Linked DNA regions of Diceros bicornis minor. The main gene of each other region encodes a partner of the protein of the gene in region 2 in a complex. Links are inferred from orthologs where the notes say so. Each region holds a gene or a part of one and is shown on either strand. Other genes may lie near its edges.

Region 1 (6,979 bases), on a different chromosome or scaffold from region 2:
TTAAATATATCAAATATACATATTTATAATTTACAACTGGTAATTCTTGTTTCAATGTCTTTATGAGTTTGATTCTGTTATCTGTTTTTTCTGCTAATTCTTGTATAAGATGCCTTATTTCTTTGTATGATTTGTGATTTGATTGAAAGTTCACATTTCTTGGAACTTTCTCTATGGAAATCTTTGGGGTCTGGGTTAAGTTGGTGTCTTAGTCAACTTGGGCCAACAAAATATCATAAACTGGATTGCTTAAACAAAACATTTATTTCTCACAGTTCTGGAGGCTGGGATGTCCAAGGTCAAGGTTCCCGCAGATCCAGTGTCTACTTCATAGAAGGGCATCTGCTCTCTGTATCTTCACATGGTGGAAGGGGCAAGGTTTCTCTCTGGAGTCTCTTTTATAAGGGCACTAATCCCATGCATGAGTGCTTCACCCTCATGACCTAATCACCTCCCAAAGGCCCTATCTCCAAATACCATCACACTGAGGATTAAGCGTAAACATGTGAGTTTAGGGGAAACACAAACATTCAGTCTTTAGCAGTAATTTTCTTTTCTACTTTTTGTTCTGAAAAATTCCAAATTTCAATAAAATGTAAAAGAGTAATATATGAATGGTATAGTACAAGAATAGTATATATATGCTATATATATCTTCACCTAAATCCAATTGTTAACATTTGGTTTGTATTTCTCTCTTTATCTCTGTCTTTTGCTGAACCATTTGAATATAAGTTGCAGAAGTCATGGTTCTTTACTCTTAAATAGTTCAGCTTGCATTTCCTAAAAATAAAGAAATTCTCCTACATAACCATAATTCCATGTCACATCTAAGAAAATTAACAATAATTCCATAATATCATCTAATATACAGTCTATATTCAAATTTCCCCAATTGTTCTTAAATGTCTTTTATAGTCTCTCTCTCTCCTTCTCTCTCTCTGCTTCAGGACTCCATCAAGATTCATGTAGTTTTTTTTGGTTTGTTTTTCATGACAGTGACATTTACGAAGAGTCTGGCCTAGTCACCTTGTAGAACGTTTCAAATTCTGGATTTGATTCAGAGCACGCTTTTAAAAAATAAAAATCAGGAGCCAGCCTGGTGGCATAAGTTTAAGTTATGGTTTAAGATCGCATGCTCTGCTTCGGTGGCTTGGGGTTCGCAGGTTCAGATCCTGGGCACAGACCTATGCACCACTCATCAAGCCATACTGTGGTGGCATCCCACATACAAAATAGAGGAAGATGTTAGCTCAGGGACAATCTTCCTCAGCAAAAACTGGAAGATTGGCAACAGATGTTAGCTCATGGCCAATCTTTGTCACCAAAAAAAAATATATATATATATATATTTATATTATATATATAAATTTATTTATTTAATTTATAAATTAAATATATTTATAAATTATAATATAAATATATAAAATATAATATAAATATAAAATATAAGAATAAAATATAAAATATAATATAAATATATTTATAAATTATAATAAAATATAAACATATTTATATAATTTATAAATTAAATAAATATATATAATATATTATATATTATATATATAAATATAATATTTATATTTATATATATTTTTTATATTATTTATATATATATAATATATTATATATATATAAATATATTATATATATATATCAGATGAAGTTACTCCTATATTCATAATCTTCCACTGGCTACTATAAAATTTAGAAAATAAGGCCTGAGCTCATTATCCTGGCTTACAGAGGCCTGCATGATCTGGTGTGACTTCATCTTGTATGTTTTTCTCTCCTTCACTTCACTTAAGCCACAGTGGCCTTATTCCAGTTTCTCAAACCCACAAGGCTTGTCCTCACTGGACTTTGCATTAGCTGTTTTCTTTACTTAATGTGGTCTTCCTGAGCTTTGCTTGAAGGCTAGCTGCTTCTTGTGTAATTCAAATCTCAATTAGACACCATCTTCTCAAAGTGGCCTTTCTTACCTTGACCCTCAATCTAAAGTAGTCATTCAGTCACCCACTCTCACATAATCCTACTTTGAATTCTCTGCATGGTACCTATCACAACCTAATATTTTTCTCGTTGTTTACTTTTATTAAACTCCATGATATCAGGGGGTGTGTTCTGTCTTGCTCACTACTATATTCCCAGCACCTAGAACAGTTCCTGACACATAGCAGAAACTTAAATAAATACTTGCTAAATACTGCAATGGATAAGCTGAAGGATGAAAAGAAGGCAGCTATTTAAAGAGCTTGGGGGAAAAAATCTAAGGAGAGGGAACTGCCAGAGAGAAGACCCTGAGGCTTGGTCTGTTCTAGGGCCTGAAGAATGTCTTGTGTACTTAGAGTGAGCCAGGTGGAGAGGGAAATAAAGGAGAGTAGAGAGGTGGGCAGGGCAAGATGACTTAGGGCTCTGGGGGCCATGGTAGGGAATTTAGATTTTATTTTAAATCAAATGAGAAGTCACTGAAGATTTTCAAGTAGGAGAGGGACATAATCTGATTTATGCCTTTTAAAAGATAATTTAATTTGAGTAATTGGGAAGATGGAGATCAATATCAATGATAGAAAGTCACTGTAAGAGAAGATTTGCAGGAAATGATTCATTTTGAACATGTTGAATTTGATATATTGTACTTCCTTTGTGGCTTTCATATTAACACCCAAAAAAAGAATTTATGAGTAAGAAGGAATTATAATACCTACCTCTGAATAGTACAGCCAGCTGATTCAGTTGTTGTTTATAAGAACCTGCTACTAAAGGTAGTTGTTGCTAACAACAGGCACCATTTATTGAGCAGTCAGGCACTATGCTAACCACTTAACAATGTTTACATCACTGAAGCATCACAACCACCCTTATTAGAAGAGGACTTATTATCTATATTTTACAACTGAGGAAACTAAGGCTAAAGAAGATAAGTAACTCATTCAAGGTCAACCAGCCAGTAAGCGGCAGAGAAGGAACTCAAATTCCAGGTCTAGTTTGATGCCAAATCTATTTTAACCAATTTGCCATAACATGTTCCCAATAAGAGAAAGGCTGCTTGGATCACTGGTTGTGGCCATCATTCACAGAGAGATTGAAACCGAGGGTTTCTTTAATATATCCTTAAGCCTGTAGAAACACCTACCTGAGAAATAATCTAATTAAATTCGTCAAATTCTTTAGCCCAGAGAGACAAGTCTTGGAATTTTTGAGAAAAACAAACTGAGATCTATTTGTTGTTAACTCGATATGGAGAGGAAGTGAATGGAAATAAAACTTATTCTTCCCAGTGTATTTGGAATGTAGCTGCCTGAAACTGAGTAAAACGGCTACCCAATTTTGCTGGGAACCAGCGATTCTGCAGTCAACAGAAGTTTGCTTTTTTAACAGCTGGAAACGCCAGAACTGTGACACAGCCTCAAGAACTGAGGCTGCCTTGTTCAGACCTCCACACGGGTCCCTCTGTTCCTTTCACAGAGCCCTCTTTTTCTGAAACATCCCGCATATGCCGCTTGGGATACTCATTCTCTGGGCCAGGACCGAGTCCTAAGGGCAGGAGGCACTGGTTTTGGGCTCCCGTCTTTTCAAGGGGTCTGGACAAGAGCCCCTCCGAAGACCTCTTTCTGGACAATATTTATCGCTCCACCCTTCAGTGTCTGAAGAACAAAGACGACGACGGGAAAGAAACTTCAATTTGGTGCTGGAGGGCAGATCCCGGAGCAGCGGAGGACCGAATCACCCAACGCCCCCCTCAGCCTGACACGCAGAACCCCACCCACCCAGGACGGCGGAGGCCGCGCGGGGACGATCGCTCCGCCCCGCCCCGCCCCACCGCCGGCCATTGGCGGGTCCGAAAGTCGCGGGGCGGTGTCTGTTTGAATGTGAGCGACTGGAGCCGGGGCGCAGGCGCAGAGGAGGGGAGCGGTGAAGAGCGGGCGGCGCTGCGGACCCCTGGTTGGCGGTGGGACGTGTCGGGAGGCGAGGCGAGTCCAGGGAGGTCTGGCCCACGTGACCCGCCGGGGGCCGGGTCGGGGGGCGCGCGCCGGCCTCCCGCGGTGCCCCTGCCTGGCGAGGCGCCCGTGGCGCGCTGACACGCCTGGTGGAGGGGCTGCCGCCGCCCGCCCGTCGCCCGAGGCGGCCGCTGCTGCAGCTTCGCCGCGTCCCCCGCGCTCCCAGGACTCGCCGGCCCGCGGGAGGTGAGTTCTGAGGGGCGTTTGAGGGCGCCCCGCGGCGGGAGGTGACAGGGAGGGGGCGTGTGTGGGACGGGCTCTGTGTCCAGGGTCTGGGGGCGACCGCCTTTGTTCGGGGCGGGAGGAGCCGGGGGTGGTCGGCGGGGACGCGAGTGGAGAAACCAGAAACTCGGGATGAGGGACAGCTGCGTCCAGGACGAGCGCTCAGCTGCTTTCTGGTGGACGTTTTAAAATGAGAGTAAAGCTTACGAGCCTCGTTCCCTAGTATTTTTTAAATAAAAAGTTCCCTAGTATTTTTTAAATAAAAAGTATATTAGGATACAGTGATTTGTCACGTATTCTCAGTGTGAGTAACAAACCTGAAAAATCGGAATCCCTGTGGAATTAGACCCCAGGCAGATTGCAGTCACTTGTAGTCGTGCGCTGCTGTCTAAACCAGGCAGTTTTTGTCAAACACCTGCGTTTACAATATTTAAATTCATGATCTTTCGGACACCAGCCTGTCGATTTACCATAAAAATTGGTAGTTGCTGCAAAAAGTTTTAGTAAGCATGGAATGTTAAGAAAGCCCTTTGCTGAAAACCTATAGAATATCTTCGAATAGTAAAAAGTGGAAAATGTGTAATTTCCTTGTTTTGATGGTAACCAGTTAGATCATTTTAACTAGTATCATTTGAACTCCGTTAAAGAATAGGAGTAAGGATGGAAATTTTATTTGCCTTAATGCATAATTAAACCCTACCGTGGAGTTAAACGAAGTAGGCTCTTGGCTCTGCTTTCTTCGGCTTGTGTTGGAGTCTCTCGTCGTGGGTGTGGGAGGTTGATGTACCGACCGAGCTGAACTTTCAGGCTGCCACTTTAGAATGGTGCGCGGAAGATTTCCAGCCTGATAGCCGCCAGTGTGATTACCTCTGATAAATACCACTTTTGCTTGAATTGTCACTTTTCAAGAAGCAACTGTGGTTGATTTTTAGAACTGAGTAAGCAGCAGATCACTGTTGGTTGACATGGATGTGTGTGAGGGCTCAGGGGCTGAGGGACAGTCTCATACCTACTCTTCTTTACACCTTACCGTGGATTCGTTCTGACAAACTCTTTCTCAGGCTGTTCTTTACAATGTAAGGAGTGGAGCAGATACAAAGTAAAAAGTTGTGTGATATTGTTGAGAGGCATTTCCTCCGAATCCTCTTTGGCTAGATAAGCAGTTTAGGTGTGTTTTCTTCTGTTATTCAATCAGACATGCAGTGTTACAAATATTATATTTTAATATAAATCTCAGACTTGGTACTTAGGCTAATTGTAACACAGATAGGATATAGTCGTTTTTAAAATGGCCTCGTTCTTAAGGATAAAATATTTCTAAGATTTACCTAAAAGATAAAATTTTGTAATTAGTAATCTCTGGAATTTTAAAATTGAAAATCTGGTATAGATTTAGACTATCCTAAATCTATTCTAATAGACATGTTCTTTTTTATAATAATAATAATAGCTATTATTATTATTGCTACTATACTTTGAGTACTTTCGTTAAGTACCAGAGCCAGGCATTGGGTTAGGTGCTTTATAAATCAGATCTCCCATCATCACAACACATGTTGGTGTTGGATAAGTATCATTATGCCCAAACCAACTCTGCGAGTTTAGCTCAAGATCATATAACTAAGTTACTGTGCTGGGCTTCAAACCGTGGCCTGATCCCAAAGCACATGCTGTATCGCGTCTGTGTCTTTGTTTAAATCTCCTCCAGGTCTCTGGATTCCATTTGTAAGGACATAATCCTACTTTTAAGATGCCTGTAGGTGCTGTGTCTTGTTGTGAACTATGCAGAAATATTTCAGTCCTTAGTTTAGGACTTCTGTCTTCCTTTCAATACCTTATAAATCACAAATCCTTTTAATCATCTTTATAAAAACAGTAAAAAATTAAGAGTAAGACTTTCCTGAGTTATTTACATGAATATGAATATATTCTTTACTGTGGAGCAGAAACGTACTAAAGGCCGGTTTTCTCATTATTATAGGATTCTTTGCCGCTTCATAGTTTTTATCTTCTTTACGGGCAAGAAATCAAAAAAGTTTGTTGGACATCGATTATGTGCAAAGCAGTTTGCTTGGTGTTGTGAGATGACAAGAGAAGGCTTCCTATGCAGTAGTTGCTTCTGGAGTTTTTACAGTATCTTTCATCAGTCTCCCTGTCCTGCCCCATATGTTGCTGACAGTTTATCTTCCTAACACGGATCTAACTTTGCTATTCCTTTGTTGAAAAAATTACAGGGTTCCTCATTATGTAATATAGGGTTGAATATGTGCTTCAGCCATGTACGTATTCAGAGTCCCTCACAGTTTAGTGCGTTCTTGGACTTCTCTTTCTCTACTCCTGACCCAGTGTGCTTGTCCTGGCACACGTGCATTCTGTGCATTCCCATCCCCTTGCTTGACTTGAGCCATTTCCCTGTGCTGGAATTGCCTTTTCTCCGTTTGCCTAATAAGGTCTACCCATCCTGCAAGATGCAGTACAGATTTCCTTGCTTCCTCAAAGCTGTCCTTCGTCCTTTTTACTTAGAATTATTCTTCCCGTATCATCTCATAACATTACTGACTTGAACTTTTCCACAGAATGGTGGTAACTTTTGGAAGGAGAAGACGGAGTTATATTTCCTATGAAGAATTCTGACTTCAAAGTCTCTAGGGATCCTCTTTAGGCATTTATAATCCTTTTGCATTTGGGATTTATTTCTGCTTAAAATTGTGTTTGAAACCAGTTTTGCCTTTTTAAAGTCCTTCTGTTAAGAGAAC
Region 2 (7,085 bases):
AGACAATGGAGAGGTGTCCACATGCCACATCTGCTCCCAATTTATCCAGCCAAAGATACACACTGCCCTCTGATCTCTCTCTTTCTGTGTGTGTATACATGTCAGGTTGTCCTGACTCTGTCTTCTTCTATGGTTCCCTCTTCTCCCCACACTAATCCATCAACATACCAAGCCAACACATCTCAGATAAACTCTCCTTTCCCACTTTTGCTTGTTTTTCTGATGGCAGGATGAGTGGGGAAAAGGTTGGAGGCCAGCAGTTTCTTAATTTTAATCTCAGTTCTTACACTAATCCCATTTGACTTCTGAATAATACAGAATCTCACGGTTGGAAGGGATCCTAAAAGTTCTTCTATATCTAAATCTTTCCCAATATGCGACCATCTAGTCTAGATTGTTACATCTTAGTTAAGAATGTGTGAGTTTCTGAGGTGCGCTATTTCCTTTGTGGGGAATTGTACACTATTTTTTCTCACATCATGATAAAATTTCTTGCTATAGCTTTCTTCCACTACTTCTAAATCTACCACTTGAATCCACACAGAAAATGTCTATTCCCTCTGATTTACAATATCTCTTCAGTCATTTGGAAATAGCTATCATGTCTCTTTGTACCTTCTCATTTGTATCCCCAGTTTCTTCAATTATTTCTTATGACACAGTTTGGAGTTACTTTAAGATTTAGATGCTCTCAGCTGAATGTGTCCCAATTTGTCTTTTAACATGTCTCTAATTTTCTTAACATATGATGCTCAGTATAATTCAGCAATAAAAAGAAGTGAAGTACTGATACATGCTACAGCATGGATGAACCTTGAAAACCTTATGCTAAGTGAAAGAAGCCAGTCACAAAAGACCACATACTATATGGTTCCTTTTATATAAAATGTCCAGAATGGGCAAATCTGTAGAGACAGCAAGTAGATTCGTAGTTGACCAGGACTTGAGGGGATGAGGCGGGGGTGGTGGAAAGATTGGAGGATAATGGCTATGGAGTACAGGGTTTCTTTTTGGGGTGATGAAAATGTTCTAGAATTGAGTGTCATGATGGTTGTACAACTCTGTGAATATACTAAAAGCCACCGAATTGTACACTTTAAATGGATAAATTATATGGTGTGTGAATTACATCTCAATATAGTTGTTTAAAAAATATGATGTCCAGAAGGGAAAACAGTACTTTGAAGTAGATTGCTTTAACCTCTGTATTTCAATTTCATTCTCTACAACATTGATGAGTTAATATATCTGCTCTACCTCCTTGACAAGATTGTTGAATCACATTTTGCAACATCATAATTATGTAAATTATTAATTTGAATGACTCTTGCCACCTCATACGGTATTACTAAGACAATCTACTTGCTGGTAACTCACTTGTTTTGTTGGGTAAGAGATTTTTTTTTTAAATACCTATTACCCAATTCAGGAGAACGTAAGGAACACTTAGTACCCATTGTATAAAGTCCAACTCTTCACCTTAATATTTAAAGCTCTCTTTCAACTTTGTCCCACACTTCCTATCATTCTTCGCAGCCAAACTACATTTCAATGACAAAACAACTGCTTTCTCTAACATGTACATTACACATTAACCCTTTTAGCTGGTTATTCCTCTCAAACAAAATATATCCTATTATGGACTGAATGCTTGTGTCCCCCCCAAATTCATATGTTGAAGCCCTAACTCCAATATAAGGCTATTTTGAGGTGGAGCCTTTGGGAGGTAATTAGGTTTGGATAAGGTTATGGGGGTGGGGCCCCCATGATGGGATTAGTGTCCTTATAAGAAGAGGAAATGAGACTAGAGCACTTTCTCTCCACATGTGAGGGCACAGCAAGAAGGTGGCCATCTGAAAGCCAGGAGGAGAGTATTCACTGGGGAAATGAATTGGCTGGTATTTTGATGTTGGACTTCCCAGCCTCCACAACTGTGAGAAAGAAATTCCTGTTGTTTAAGCCAAACAGTCTATGGTATTTTGTTACAGCAGCCCAAGCTGACCAATACATACCCCTTGGAATTCCACAAAGATCCCCAGTCATGGCTTTCTTCTTCCTTCAAAAGGTTTTTCAAAACTTTCTTCTCTCCGAATTTCCCCTCATACTGATCGCTCCATTCCTATGCCTCCTCTCAGAAGTTTAGCTTCATATAAAGCTATGTTCTTATTCACAGAACTCTTTTCAGTTCTTATTCATCCATGTATTATATTTTGCCTCCTCACCTACTTGATAAGCTTCTCAAATGAGAGGGGTAATGTGTATAATTCTGTTATAATTTCTTTTCTTTAAAACACAAATTTTTTATCATTTCCACCAGTACTCAGTTATGATTGCTTCCTCTTTTCCTGTCATTGTAGGTCCCACACTCTATATGGCCTGAAGCTTATAGGAAAGACAATAACAGATAATCCAAAATGGCTAATACACAAACACTATGTTGAAAGTTCACTCCATCAAGTTTAATTCCAGAGTTTCTGAGGAACATTATCATTTAGAGTGCCAAGAAATACAAAGAGGGTAGAAGGTGACTAAGTACACTTTAAGGCTTGCTCCTTCTTGTTGTTATATTATGAACAGTTGAGGCAGTTCTTGAAATGGCATCCCTTGAGCCCAGCAGCTTTGTAGGAGAACAGGAAAGGGCACGTCCAGTAGGGAGGACACTGACAGTCTCTGCTTGCCCACAGGCCTGGCCTACGTGACCCGCTCTAAAGCTATTCTGACTGTAGCATCAGCTCAGCCTCACACTGGAAAACTCAAGCCCAGTTTTACCAATGGCTTTTAGAAAATAAGACTTCCAGATGCAAACCAAAGACCAATTTCCTAAATTTTAATACATCAAAGAAGATATTTTTCTTTGCTACCAAGCCCATGTTCTACGCAAACAACATTTCCTGAGATGTATGTAAGGGAAAGGTGCAGTGCGCAGTGACAATGGCAGGAACAGACCAGAACTTAAACCTATGCTCACTAATTGGATGCTGAGCAGAATGCCTCAGCAGGCCCCAGGAGCTGATCTCCCCCAGACCATTACAGCTGGGAGGATGGAGTGATGGTGTGGATCAACTCCTCATTTTCTGGGCAAGGAAGCTAAGGCCTGCAAGAAGGAATGACGTGCCCAGTGGCTTATGATTTACTCACATGGTCATAAATATCGGTTCAAACTCGGCTCGGAAGCTTACATGCCGCCCCAGAGGAGAGCAGATTTGTTTGTGTGGGTGTGTTTTATAGCTCTTGTCATTTTAAAATACACTCGTTGATTCTTTGTCTCACATTTTCTCAGGTCGTGAGGAAATCCTTCCAAATGTGCTCTGCTTGTGAAAAGAAACGTGAGAATGGATGGAAGGAGGAAAGGAAGGAAAGGAACACGGAAGGGAGGAAGCTGACCTCCTATCCTCCTCCGCAGACTTTTCTATTCCCCCGTATCCCCAGCTCTGCTTTCGCCACGGCTCCGTTCCCTCCCCAGCTCCCTCTATTTTCCACAGCCCAGGAGGCCGGCCGACTGGGCTTTGCGTTTCGGAAACCCTCGCGCTGCTGCCGGCGCTGGGCATGCTCAGACGCCCAGGACGGGCTTTTTTCCCCTTCCAACTTTGGCAGCTCTCCCACCCGCAGCCCGAAGGGGCAGGTCCGCACAGCTCCCTCGGTGCGAGCAAACCCGGAGAAATTATCCGCGCCCGCGAAGGCAGCGAGATGGGGGGGCTCGTTGGGCAGCTCCGGGTTTCGAGGGCGCTTCCAAGGGGCGCGCGACGCCCGGGTGGCCGCCCTCCGCGCGGGGGCGCGCGCCCGTTGAAGGGGCCGCTGTCCGAGGACACGTGCGCGGGAGCGCGCTCCGGGAGTGGTCGCGGGGCCGGGATGGTGGGACCGGCGGAGGGGGCGGGCGGAGCCGCGGGGGGCGGGAGCGCGCTGTGGGAGTGGTCTCCGGGGGCGGGTGGGCGGGGCGAGGATGGTGGGAGGGGCGAGGCCTCGGTGGGGGCCCGGGGGCGGGGCGGAGCGGGGCGGGGCCACAGGGGGCGGGAGCGCGCTCCGGGAGTGGTCGCGGGGCGGGGCGGCGGCGGCGCGCGGACGCCAGCTCCCTGGGCTTCTGGAGGCTGCGGCGCGGCCAGCGGCAGGAGGCGGCGGTAGCTGTTGCCAGAACCCCGACACCCGGACTTGTGGGGCACCGAGGGGCACCGGGAGCGGAGCGGCCGTGGGGAGCAGCGCGGTGTGCGGCCCCTTTGTGGACAGCGCCTTCCCAGCCGGTCAGGAGGGGCGGCGGAGGTGGCCGGCGCCGGGAGGGTGGATCGCCCGCGTCCGGAGAGGAAGCGCTCACCTGCGTTGGGGACTGCACGGCCGGAGGGCGCCGCGCTCTCGCTCGGGCACGATGGGCTGCACGCTGAGCGCCGAGGACAAGGCGGCGGTGGAGCGCAGTAAGATGATCGACCGCAATCTGCGCGAGGACGGCGAGAAGGCGGCGCGCGAGGTCAAGCTGCTGCTGCTCGGTAAGGGCCGGCGCCGGCCCGGGGCCCGGGGGGCGGCGGGGGCGGGCGCGGACTCCGGGGCGTGCGGAAACCCGGGGGACGTGTCCCGGCCGCCGATGGCGCGTGTGGTAGTGCCCGAGATGGTGTCCGAGGGAGCGTGTCCGGTCCTCGTCCCCCCTCCTCGGCCGGGGAGGACTCCCCGCGGTGGGCGGGAGCTTCGCTTCCCTCGCTCGCGCTGGTGTGGACCCCCGAGGGCCGAGGAGTGGATCTCGAGGAAGCCCTTTTCTTTGGAGTTAGCTCCGCCGTGTGAGGATGAAGGGCACCCGCACAGTAAGAGCCCCCCACCCTTCCTACAAGGTGCGCTCTCGCGGTTGTGGTTCCCCACGGGCAGGAGCGCCAGGCTTTGTGAAGTCAGCGCACCTTCTGCGGGGCCTCCGTGGCTTGCAGCGTGTCTCCACCGGCGACTCGGTCAGTGTGAAGGGAGCACTGATTGCATTGACCCCCCGTGAGAAAGTAGGCTATGCTGGGTGCTCCATTTCTGTTACTGTGGGGTCCCGGAAACCACCAGAGTTGGTAACATTTGCTCTAGTGAGATGCTCGAGCGGAGAAAGCCGATGGGAAAGGTGCGAGAGGGTCACGCCGAAGACGGCACTCCTGGCCGCCTCACTTTCGGATGGATGAGGTTGGCCAGGTACTCGCCAAGGCTTTCATTTGTTCTTAGCATTGTTCTCTTAGTGAAACGCTGTGTGAAGGTCTTTTCCAGTTGTTTGAAAGGAGAGAACATAAAAAGAGTGAGCCAGGGTTTTGACTGAGGGATACATTAGGAAATATTCACAGCCTAAGATTTGTAGTTGTATGAGTTAGGGTTTTCTTTTGTTTGCTTGTTTCCCCCCCCCACCCTATAGTATTTAAGTAGATGAAAGGTTTCTTACAATCTTAATTTGCACTCTCAGCGGTTGCTTTTAATTTTATAACAGTTATAATAAAAGGCAAATATTGCACAAGCTTCTGTTTCATTAGTTTAATGACTGCAGGAAAAATGGTGGTTTTTTTCCTCCGTTACTAGTAGGCTTAGAAGCAGAAACTTGGCGTGACTAAAAGTAATAATGATCTGAGTCATTTTTCGAGCGAACTGTGAAATAACTTTGCATTTTAAAGACCTGGCTGGCTTTCTTCACCCCCACCCCCAACATTAATCTTTCTCAGTTAATACTGTTTGCTTAAGTTTTTACATTAATAAGAAATACCCTATTTTGACGAGGGGAGTGTATTTTTAGTGTATTGAACATAAAAGAGACACACCTTGGTATGGAAACATGTAGATGCTCCTCTTATGAATTGAATGTACTTGAGGCAAAAATGCAAAAAAAATGATTAAAAAGTTATTTTCCTGCAGTTTCTGCACTCCTGCTCTGATATATTATTTCAGTGTATTGTAGTGTGACTCTTAGTTTGAGCCAGCCGTCCACCATGTTTAAAGCAGTTGAAAAATGAACCCTCTGGTGTTATTTTATGCTTTAACTAGATGTCTGTTAGAGAGAGACGGACTGGGATAAAGGTCCAGGAAGTTGGGTTTTGCTTCTACTCAGAAGAGATCGGTGTTTCTCAGTCTTAGCACTGTTGGCATTTTGGGTAGGATGCTTCTTTGTGGTGCAGGCTGTCTTGTGCATTGTAGGATGGGAGCATGTCTTTGGCCTCTACCCATTAGATACCCGTTGTAGCCCCCTCAACCTGTGACCCTTGAAAATGTCTTCATATATCCCCAGATGTCCTGTGGGGGCAAAAATTAACCTCTGCGAGAACCACTGTTCTAGATTAATAAGTAAATATAGTTGAATGTGTAATGAAGAACCAAAAGTTGCATCTCTATAGCCAACTATAAGAGAGAGTTATGAGAAAGTGTAGCAGAGTCGTGATTTTCAGAAGAAATTGCGGAATTTTTGTTTCTCTGTGCCAGTAATGTCAGAAAGATTTCTAAATGATTTTTGAAATCTTTAGGTAACTGAGTTCCGTCTGCTGTCTTCTCTGGCTTGAGTCTTTTCCCTGCATCTCTTCTCTGTGTGGAGATTCTGCCGCATTCCTGGCTTGTGGGCCCAGCACTCCTCCTCCTTCCCCTCAGTGTCTGTCTTACTCCCACTGAACTCTACCCTTTTGCCCAGAATTCTAGCACCCTAGTTCCTATAAACAGAATACTGGCTTACTTATTTAGGAAATCATAATTCTTGAAATGTTTGAAAACATTTCTTTTTCCCCTGATTTGACTTTAGCGGGAAGTGTTGACCTTTGGTTCTTTTCTGGATGTTTAACGTCATATATATAAGCAAGTCAGTGGAATCGTTCCATATAAAACACGGCAACCGAATCAACTAGGAATATAAAATGGTTTCCAGGTAATCTGTAACGAGGGTCACTTCCATTTACATCAGGTCTTCTACCTCTTCTATTATTTTGTTTTTCTCATCACATGATTTTTTTTTTCATTTAAGGCAAAAAGCCTCTAAAATATATTTAAGACATATATTAAATAGTTCATTATATTGCATTTTTCCTTACGGCCTGTATTGTCTTTTTAGACATCTGGGTTGAAAGATTCAGGTATGAAACACACATTATTAGTAAAAAGCTTTGGGT
Region 3 (7,060 bases), on a different chromosome or scaffold from region 2:
CAGTGGCCTCGTACAAGTGTCTCTCCTGTTCCTCCATCTCTTCTTGACTCAGAGCTGGACCCATGTTGCACTTGAGCTCTGTCCCCATAGTCTTGGTCGCCAATTTCTTTTCCAGATATAAGGTTAGAACCTCCTGTTGATAATATGACAATGTCAAATCCAGGGCCTCTTTGTACTTGTGAAAGCTTCGTGTGGTGGTTCACTTGCTCATTCATCTGCCAAAGGCTGGGGGTCAGAACCTGGGCTCTGAAGCCGGGAGCCTGGGTTTGAATGCAGCTCTGCCACTTCCTAGCTGTGCAAACCTGGGCAAATTATTTAACACTTGTGAGCCTCAGTTTGCTCAACTGAGTAACAGTTGATAGTATCTATGTCATCAGAGAACATTGAATGAGACCATGTAAGTAAAATGCTTAATATTAGTAACTGATATAATGGAAAGTGCTTAAGAGGCCCTGGTTGATTTATTGGTGTTATACACTCAATGCTGACTTGATGGCCCCTGGTTCACTGAGGCCCCTTTCTGTTCATTCATTTCTCAGTATACTGAGCGCCTTCTCTCTGCCAGGCATTGTGATGGGGGCTGGAAATGCAGAGATGAGAAGTGGAGGTCCCTGCCCTCCATGAGCTTAGAGGATAACAGGGGAGGGCTGTATAAACACAGCATGTTGGGGTCCCAGAGGGGGCGGTGTCTGGGAAGTTTACTCAAGGTTCTGCTTGAGAACAGTCTTGAAGGAAAAGTGCCTGTGTTCTAGGTGGGCATGGCGGAGAAGGGCTTTCCTAACTGGAAAAGCGGGGAACGGAGGGGAGCAGAGGTGAAAGAGCAGGCCTCAGAGCCGCCAGTGCTCAGCATGGGGGCGCTTATGGTTTCCGGGGAAACCAGGCAGCAAGACACTGTGGGGGCTGGGAGACCCCATCGCCATTTCAAGAATGGGGGCAACTTGGAGGCTGTGGGGGGACTCACATCTGGGGATGAGTTAGGAGGCTGAGGCGTCTCTATGTGAGAGATGATAAGGGAACTTACTTAACCAAGATTGGCTGTGGGTTCTGGTGGGGGAATGGATAAGTGAGGTGACAGGCCACCGTGGCCTCTCTGTCCTCTGTGCCCCACTGCCCTTTGGTGTTCAATCTAGAGTGAAAAGGACACTCAGGGCCCATCCTAGGCCAAAATGTTAAGTGACTGTGAAAGCCTTTCCCCTCACCCCTCAAATTGCCCCCTGAGCAGGCAATGGGCTCTACTCAGAAAATGTAAGGACAGGGCTTCCCATGTTCACAGAGAGGAAATTCCCCAGATATGTGCAGAGAATTCTGGAAACAGAATTCCCATATGGGAAGAGGTGGCAAGGTTGGTGGCTGCAGGTGTGTCCCCCGCCTCTCCATCATCCTGTGGTTTATTCTCTCACGGCTATCCTCTCCCTAGCACGCTGCTCTTGTGACTAGTGCTTGGACAAAACCCCTCTCTTTGTTGTCTCTAACCAGCTGAGATGGGCTGGTCCCAAGAGGAGTCACCTGGGTCCTAAAGGAGAAGAAAGGGGCAAGAATCCAAAAACACATGCCAGTCAGTTTCCAGCTCCAGCTGTCAAATCTGTCCCTAACACCTCGGTCCACTTCTGGTGGGCTGGATCCATCGCTCGGGCACTTTTCCTGGCCTCCACCGCCTTTTCCCTCCCACCAGCTTCTGGCCCATAACCACACAAGGGCCCCTCTCTCTTTCTTCCCAAATGCAGGAGCTGTCCATTGTCTGTCCAGCTCTCAAACATAGAACAAACGTCTGTGCTCCTCTCTGCCACGGGCCCCCTCCCTCCGGCCTTGGCCACCAGGGCAGACCTGGGGCTGCCACGCCCTCCAGGAAATCACTCCTTGGCTGTACAATTGCCACAACCAGGCAATAGGACTCGTCCCTACACCAGAGGGTCTTTCTCTTATATAAGGTTATTTGGTGCTACTGGTGGTTGAGGGTCAAGGGGAGGGTACATTTTTTACAGTGAGTCACTAAGATTCAGCGATTGCTTTAGTGAGAACCACTTGCGTGGGTAGCACGCAGCCTCTTAGAAATCACTCTCTGTGGCTTCCTTCTCCCAAGCAGAGATAAAGAAAGCAGTGGCAGTAGAGACATTCATGAGAGGCCACACTAGAGGCTGGCAAAGCCTCACAAGTTCCCACAGTGCAGGGATGTGGGTAGAGCTAACACCGAAAAGTGCCAGAGACACAGAAATGCAGTTGGAAAGGGCTCCCCCTTCATGCCTGGGGAGTTCACTCAGGGCGAAATGGCAAGTCTAGTGGGGATAAGCAAGGCTTCAGACAGACTTGGGCCGACTTGGGATGCGGCGGGGGATCAGTGGGTGATGTAAAAGCAGAACAACCGAAGAAGACCCTGGCAGGCCCCGTGCTGAGGCATCTCGCTGGTGCCCCATGAAAAGTGTTAGTAAACAACAGAATGACACTGTTGTTATCGTTGAATTTTATTTTTGGCTGTACATAGATTGGTGTGTAAGGTAAATATTATAAACCCTTCAATCCACTGTGTGGGCTTAGGTCCAACTGTTCCTTTTGCTGTCTCTCTAAATAACCCCTTTGGGCGTCACTGAGAAACACTTGAACTAGGTACCCCAAATAACGATTGCATTCAAGTGTCTGGTTCCCAGGAGTTGAGACCAGGTGAGCCACTTCAGGGACAGGGTGTGATTCCCAGCAGACACTTGTTCCTGCAGGGTGGGGGTGGGGGGCGGGGCACGAGGGGAGGAGGGTATGCCATGTGACTATGGGCACATGGTACCCTTTCCCTCTGTTCTGCATGGCTGGTTATCCTGTTGTCCTGTTGTTCCTCAAATAGATTTGACACAGGCTGGTTGCTAGTGTGGAGGCCTGGTGGGTATGTGGGCGGAGAAGGGGAGACGGAGGGTCAGCAGCTGTGGTGCTTATGGGAGGTGCTGAAGTTTTGCTCTTCTGAGCAGGGAATCTTAGCTTATCCCTTTGGCAAAAGATCTTTGATACAAAGGCTGGGTTCCAGCTGTGCCCAGCAAAGAGTCAACTCATGCGGCCGAATTCTCAGTGCTTGCTGTTCTGCACTGTCTTTGCCTGTTCAGGCTGATATAACAAAAAACCAAAGGCTGCATGGCTTATAAACAACAGAAATTTGTTTCTCATAGTTCTGGAGGCTGGGAAGTCCAAGATCAAGGCAGCAGCAGAATCGTGTTTGATGAAGACCCACGTCTTGGTTCATAGATGGTGGAAAGGACAAGAGAAATCTGTGGGATCTCCTAAGAACACTATTCCCATTCATGAGAGCTTCACCCTCATGACCTAATAATCTCCCAAAGGCCCCACCTCCAAATATCATCGCCCTGAGCATCAGATCTCAATGTATCAATTCTGGAGGGACACAAACATTCAGCCTATTGAATGCATTAAGAAAGAATAAATTCTGGCTAAGGTTAGAGGCTGCCACCAAAGTCTATTGCTTGTTCCTCTGTGGTCTCCCTTTGATTCTCTGTGCTAAGCTAGCAGAAAGCCAGAATATTACGCAGTCAGTGCTCCCAGCTCCTCTCCCACCCAGTGCTGCACTTTCATCCGGTCCCTGAGTCAATGAATGTTGAGCCTTCTCCATGCCACTCACACCCCCTCCTCTGTTCTTTCCATCTTGCTGAGTGTTCTTGGCTCTGTGCTTCCTCTTGGCCCATCTCACTTCCTGAAACACCCCTGAAGAGGGCTGCTTATCTTGATGGAGCTTGAGTAGCCCTACGGAGGCAGGGGAAGGCAGAGGCCTTGAGCGTGTCTGTCTGGGGAACTAAGAGCAGCAGCACTTTCAGATTCAGCCCACATAGAACTGTCCCCCAGGATTCCAGGAAGCCGGGGATGTGTGGCCTGCAAAGGGGCTGGAAGTAATTGCCTTGTGATGGGATCTTTCTAAGGAGAAGGAGTCCTCTAAGAGAGCCCCCACCAGAGAAGAGAAGGAATGGTTAAGTTGTGAGTTTTAGACTGTTGCTGCTGCACCTGGAGCTCTGGCAAGATGTCTGGCAAGAGCTAGGCTCGCTGGCCCACACGGATCCTGTTGGCATGCCTGTCTCCTGGGAGGCTCCTCTGGGAAAGCAAGATGCCTGTCAACAGCACTGCCCTGTCGTTGGCCACCATTACCTACATCACTGTGGAGATTCTCATTGGGCTCTGCGCCATAGTGGGCAACGTGATGGTCATCTGGGTGGTCAAGCTGAACCCTAGCCTGCAGACCACCACCTTCTATTTCATTGTCTCCCTAGCCCTGGCTGACATTGCTGTTGGCGTCCTGGTCATGCCTTTGGCCGTTGTCGTTAGCCTGGGCATCACGACCCACTTTTATAGCTGTCTTCTCATGACCTGCCTGCTACTGGTCTTCACCCACGCCTCCATCATGTCCTTGCTAGCCATTGCTGTGGACCGATACCTGCGGGTCAAGCTCACAATCAGGTAACCTGCTTGAGAGGGGTGGTGTGCGGCAGTGATAGAGGTGCCTGGGAAGTGGGGCTACAAAGTTCAGATCCCAGACTCTTTGAGTGAAAACAAATCCAAGTTGGCCTCTGCACTTGAAAGAGGGCACTCACTTTCTTCTAACCATTTGGTGTGTGAGAGGTTTAGCAACAATGAGCTGAGATTCGGGAACTAGAAAAAGAAGAATGCTCCCATCGCTCTCCACTGACTCTGGGAGTGTACGTTTGATCCCCCGAGGAAGCTAAAGATGATGAAAGCTTGATGCATTTTTAATTAGTAAAAAATGCTCTTGGCTTTTAGAAATGATAGAAATCTACTAGATAAGATAAGGAGCAGACACATAAGAATAAGAGGAGCTAAATTGATGGTTCTGTTCTTGGCCAATGTAGGTTATTGTAAAGTTATTTTAACTTTGCTTCCTCTTCCATGTTGAGAAGGGGGTCAAAAGATTTCTCCTTTGCAAAAAGTAGTAACAACCTTTCCTGTGACCATGTGAACAGAACGTCCTGCCAAATGGAGAAATCTGATTGCCCAGGTGTCCTGAACTGCGTCTCCTCCTGTCTCATGTTTCTCCTCCCTCCTCCCGGGGAAAGAGCCTGGTGAGGGAGCTACAAACAAGCTTTTGATACAAACAAGCCTGGGTTCAAAACCTAGATCTTGAGATCTGATCTTGGGCAGGTTATTTAACTTTCTCTGCTTCAGTTTCTCATCTTCTCATAGTGGTTAAGATGCTCTGAACTCAGACCTCTTTTCACTTTTAGCTCCACCACTTCTAGCTTGCACAAGTTACTTACTTGTCTGTTTCATTTTTTTCACTTATAAAATGGGAATAATAATTACACCTTCCTCATACGAGTAAATGAGTTAACCCATGTAAATCTCTTAGAAAAATGCCTGGCACACAGTTGATGCTCAATAAATGGTAGCTATAACTACTATTATTTTCACTATTACCATTAATGAAATGGAGATTATCATAAAATATCTCCAGTTTGTTGTGGGATTTCTTTGAGATAAAGTCTACTGAGTACATAGTTAGTACTTAACGAGATCAGTTTCCTTCTTCCAGTCTATATAGGATGTTGTCAGGAAGGATGGTTTAAGGAGAAATGGTGACTCTCATTGGATGAGGCTTTGAAGGTCCCAGAAGCACTTCAACACGACCTTTGCAACTCCATAGACTAAACATCAAGTGTGGATGCCGGTGCAAACAGAGACATGGGGGCATGCACACATTGAGGGGAAAAGAGGGAGAGGCATAGTATAATTTATGGGCATCAGCACAATAGCCAAAATAAACACTTGAGCACAGGAGGCAAACGTGCTTTGAGGGGATCATTTCTCACCAGGTAGGTGGTTCTAGGGACTTAGATAACTCTTACCTCCCAGGAATTGAAGAATTCTTGGGCTGGAAATAGAGCTGTGAGTGGTGCGTGCAAGCACGTGACTCTAGGCAACATATTCCTGATCCATTCTAGATAGTACTTCTTTAGAAGAGTCCCCAGAGAAGTTTGCTGGATTTTTCTCCAATCATTGTCTGCTCCTGTTGTCTTCATATCCAGCAGAGTTCAGCTGAAATCACCATAGAATGCCAATGCTCTCCAGTCCCAGCTCCCCCCATCCTTTAGCACTTCCTGCTGTGAGCTCACTGACTCTCTTCCATTCAAACAGATACAGGAGGGTCACCACTCAAAGAAGAATATGGTTGGCCCTGGGCCTTTGCTGGCTGGTATCATTCCTGGTGGGATTGACCCCCATGTTTGGCTGGAACATGAAACTGACCTCCGGGTACTACAGAAATGTCACCTTCCTTTCATGCCAATTCCGTTCTGTCGTGAGGATGGACTACATGGTCTACTTCAGCTTCTTCACTTGGATTTTCATCCCCCTGGTTGTCATGAGTGCCATCTATCTTGACATCTTCTACGTCATCCGGAACAAACTCAATCTGAACTTTTCTGGCTCCAAAGAGACAGGAGCATTTTATGGACGGGAGTTCAAGACAGCCAAGTCTCTGTTTCTGGTTCTCTTCTTGTTTGCTTTGTCCTGGCTGCCTTTATCCATCATCAACTGTATCATATACTTTAATGGTGAGGTACCACAAATTGTGATGTACTTGGGCATCCTGCTGTCCCATGCTAACTCCATGATGAACCCTATCGTCTATGCTTGTAAAATAAAGAAGTTCAAGGAAACCTATCTCTTGATCCTCAAAGCCTGTATGATCTGCCAATCCTCTGATTCCTTGGATCCAAGCATTGAGCAGACTTCTGAGTAGTTAGCCATGAGAGATGACTCTCCATCCCATTCACCTTCAGATTCAGCATCAACAAACACTTGAGGTCCTATCCACCTGGGCCAGAGGCTTTCACATCCTTGATTCCTTCCACTGAGGTGGGGAACATTTGGCTCGCTGCCTCCAATTTTACTTTTCCTACTACTCTCTTCCTTTAATTCTATTTTTTTTCCTTGTCCTTCTCTAATTCAATTTTATGGATGCCTGACTTGAGGACAATGTTCTGTAGTTATTACTGCCTGTGTTCCTCCTTCCCAAACAGGAGGAGAAGTCATGGAATCTGAAGGATGCCTCATTGACTTG

Evidence for each region. The genes of interacting proteins can lie anywhere in the genome.
Region 1: GNAI1 (region 2) and GPSM2 share a complex: the UniProt entries of both Homo sapiens proteins name them as parts of the spindle orientation complex. The link is inferred for Diceros bicornis minor from reciprocal best matches to the Homo sapiens genes GNAI1 and GPSM2.
Region 3: the proteins of GNAI1 (region 2) and ADORA3 are in contact, whole or in part, in a cryo-EM structure (PDB 9EBH), measured with the Homo sapiens proteins. The link is inferred for Diceros bicornis minor from reciprocal best matches to the Homo sapiens genes GNAI1 and ADORA3. Residues at the interface, in NP_002060.4 of Homo sapiens: Arg24, Glu28, Arg32, Asp193, Leu194, Phe336, Thr340, Ile343, Ile344, Asn347, Leu348, Asp350, Cys351, Gly352, Leu353, Phe354; in NP_000668.1 of Homo sapiens: Gln44, Thr47, Arg108, Arg111, Val112, Thr115, Val116, Tyr118, Lys119, Arg120, His124, Ile204, Thr228, Ser231, Leu232, Lys285, Ile286, Lys288.

The regions. Positions count from the first base shown.
Region 1 is NC_080743.1:42,058,549-42,065,527, forward strand, and holds the start of GPSM2 (G-protein-signaling modulator 2), read left to right. Parts: upstream 1-3,962; 5' UTR 3,963-4,187; intron 4,188-6,979. UniProt on the Homo sapiens protein: Plays an important role in mitotic spindle pole organization via its interaction with NUMA1. Required for cortical dynein-dynactin complex recruitment during metaphase. Plays a role in metaphase spindle orientation.
Region 2 is NC_080742.1:17,728,092-17,735,176, forward strand, and holds the start of GNAI1 (guanine nucleotide-binding protein G(i) subunit alpha-1), read left to right. Parts: upstream 1-4,077; 5' UTR 4,078-4,357; coding exon 4,358-4,475; intron 4,476-7,085. UniProt on the Homo sapiens protein: Guanine nucleotide-binding proteins (G proteins) function as transducers downstream of G protein-coupled receptors (GPCRs) in numerous signaling cascades.
Region 3 is NC_080743.1:44,415,786-44,422,845, reverse strand, and holds the start of ADORA3 (adenosine receptor A3), read left to right. Parts: upstream 1-4,043; 5' UTR 4,044-4,090; coding exon 4,091-4,440; intron 4,441-6,132; coding exon 6,133-6,739; 3' UTR 6,740-7,060.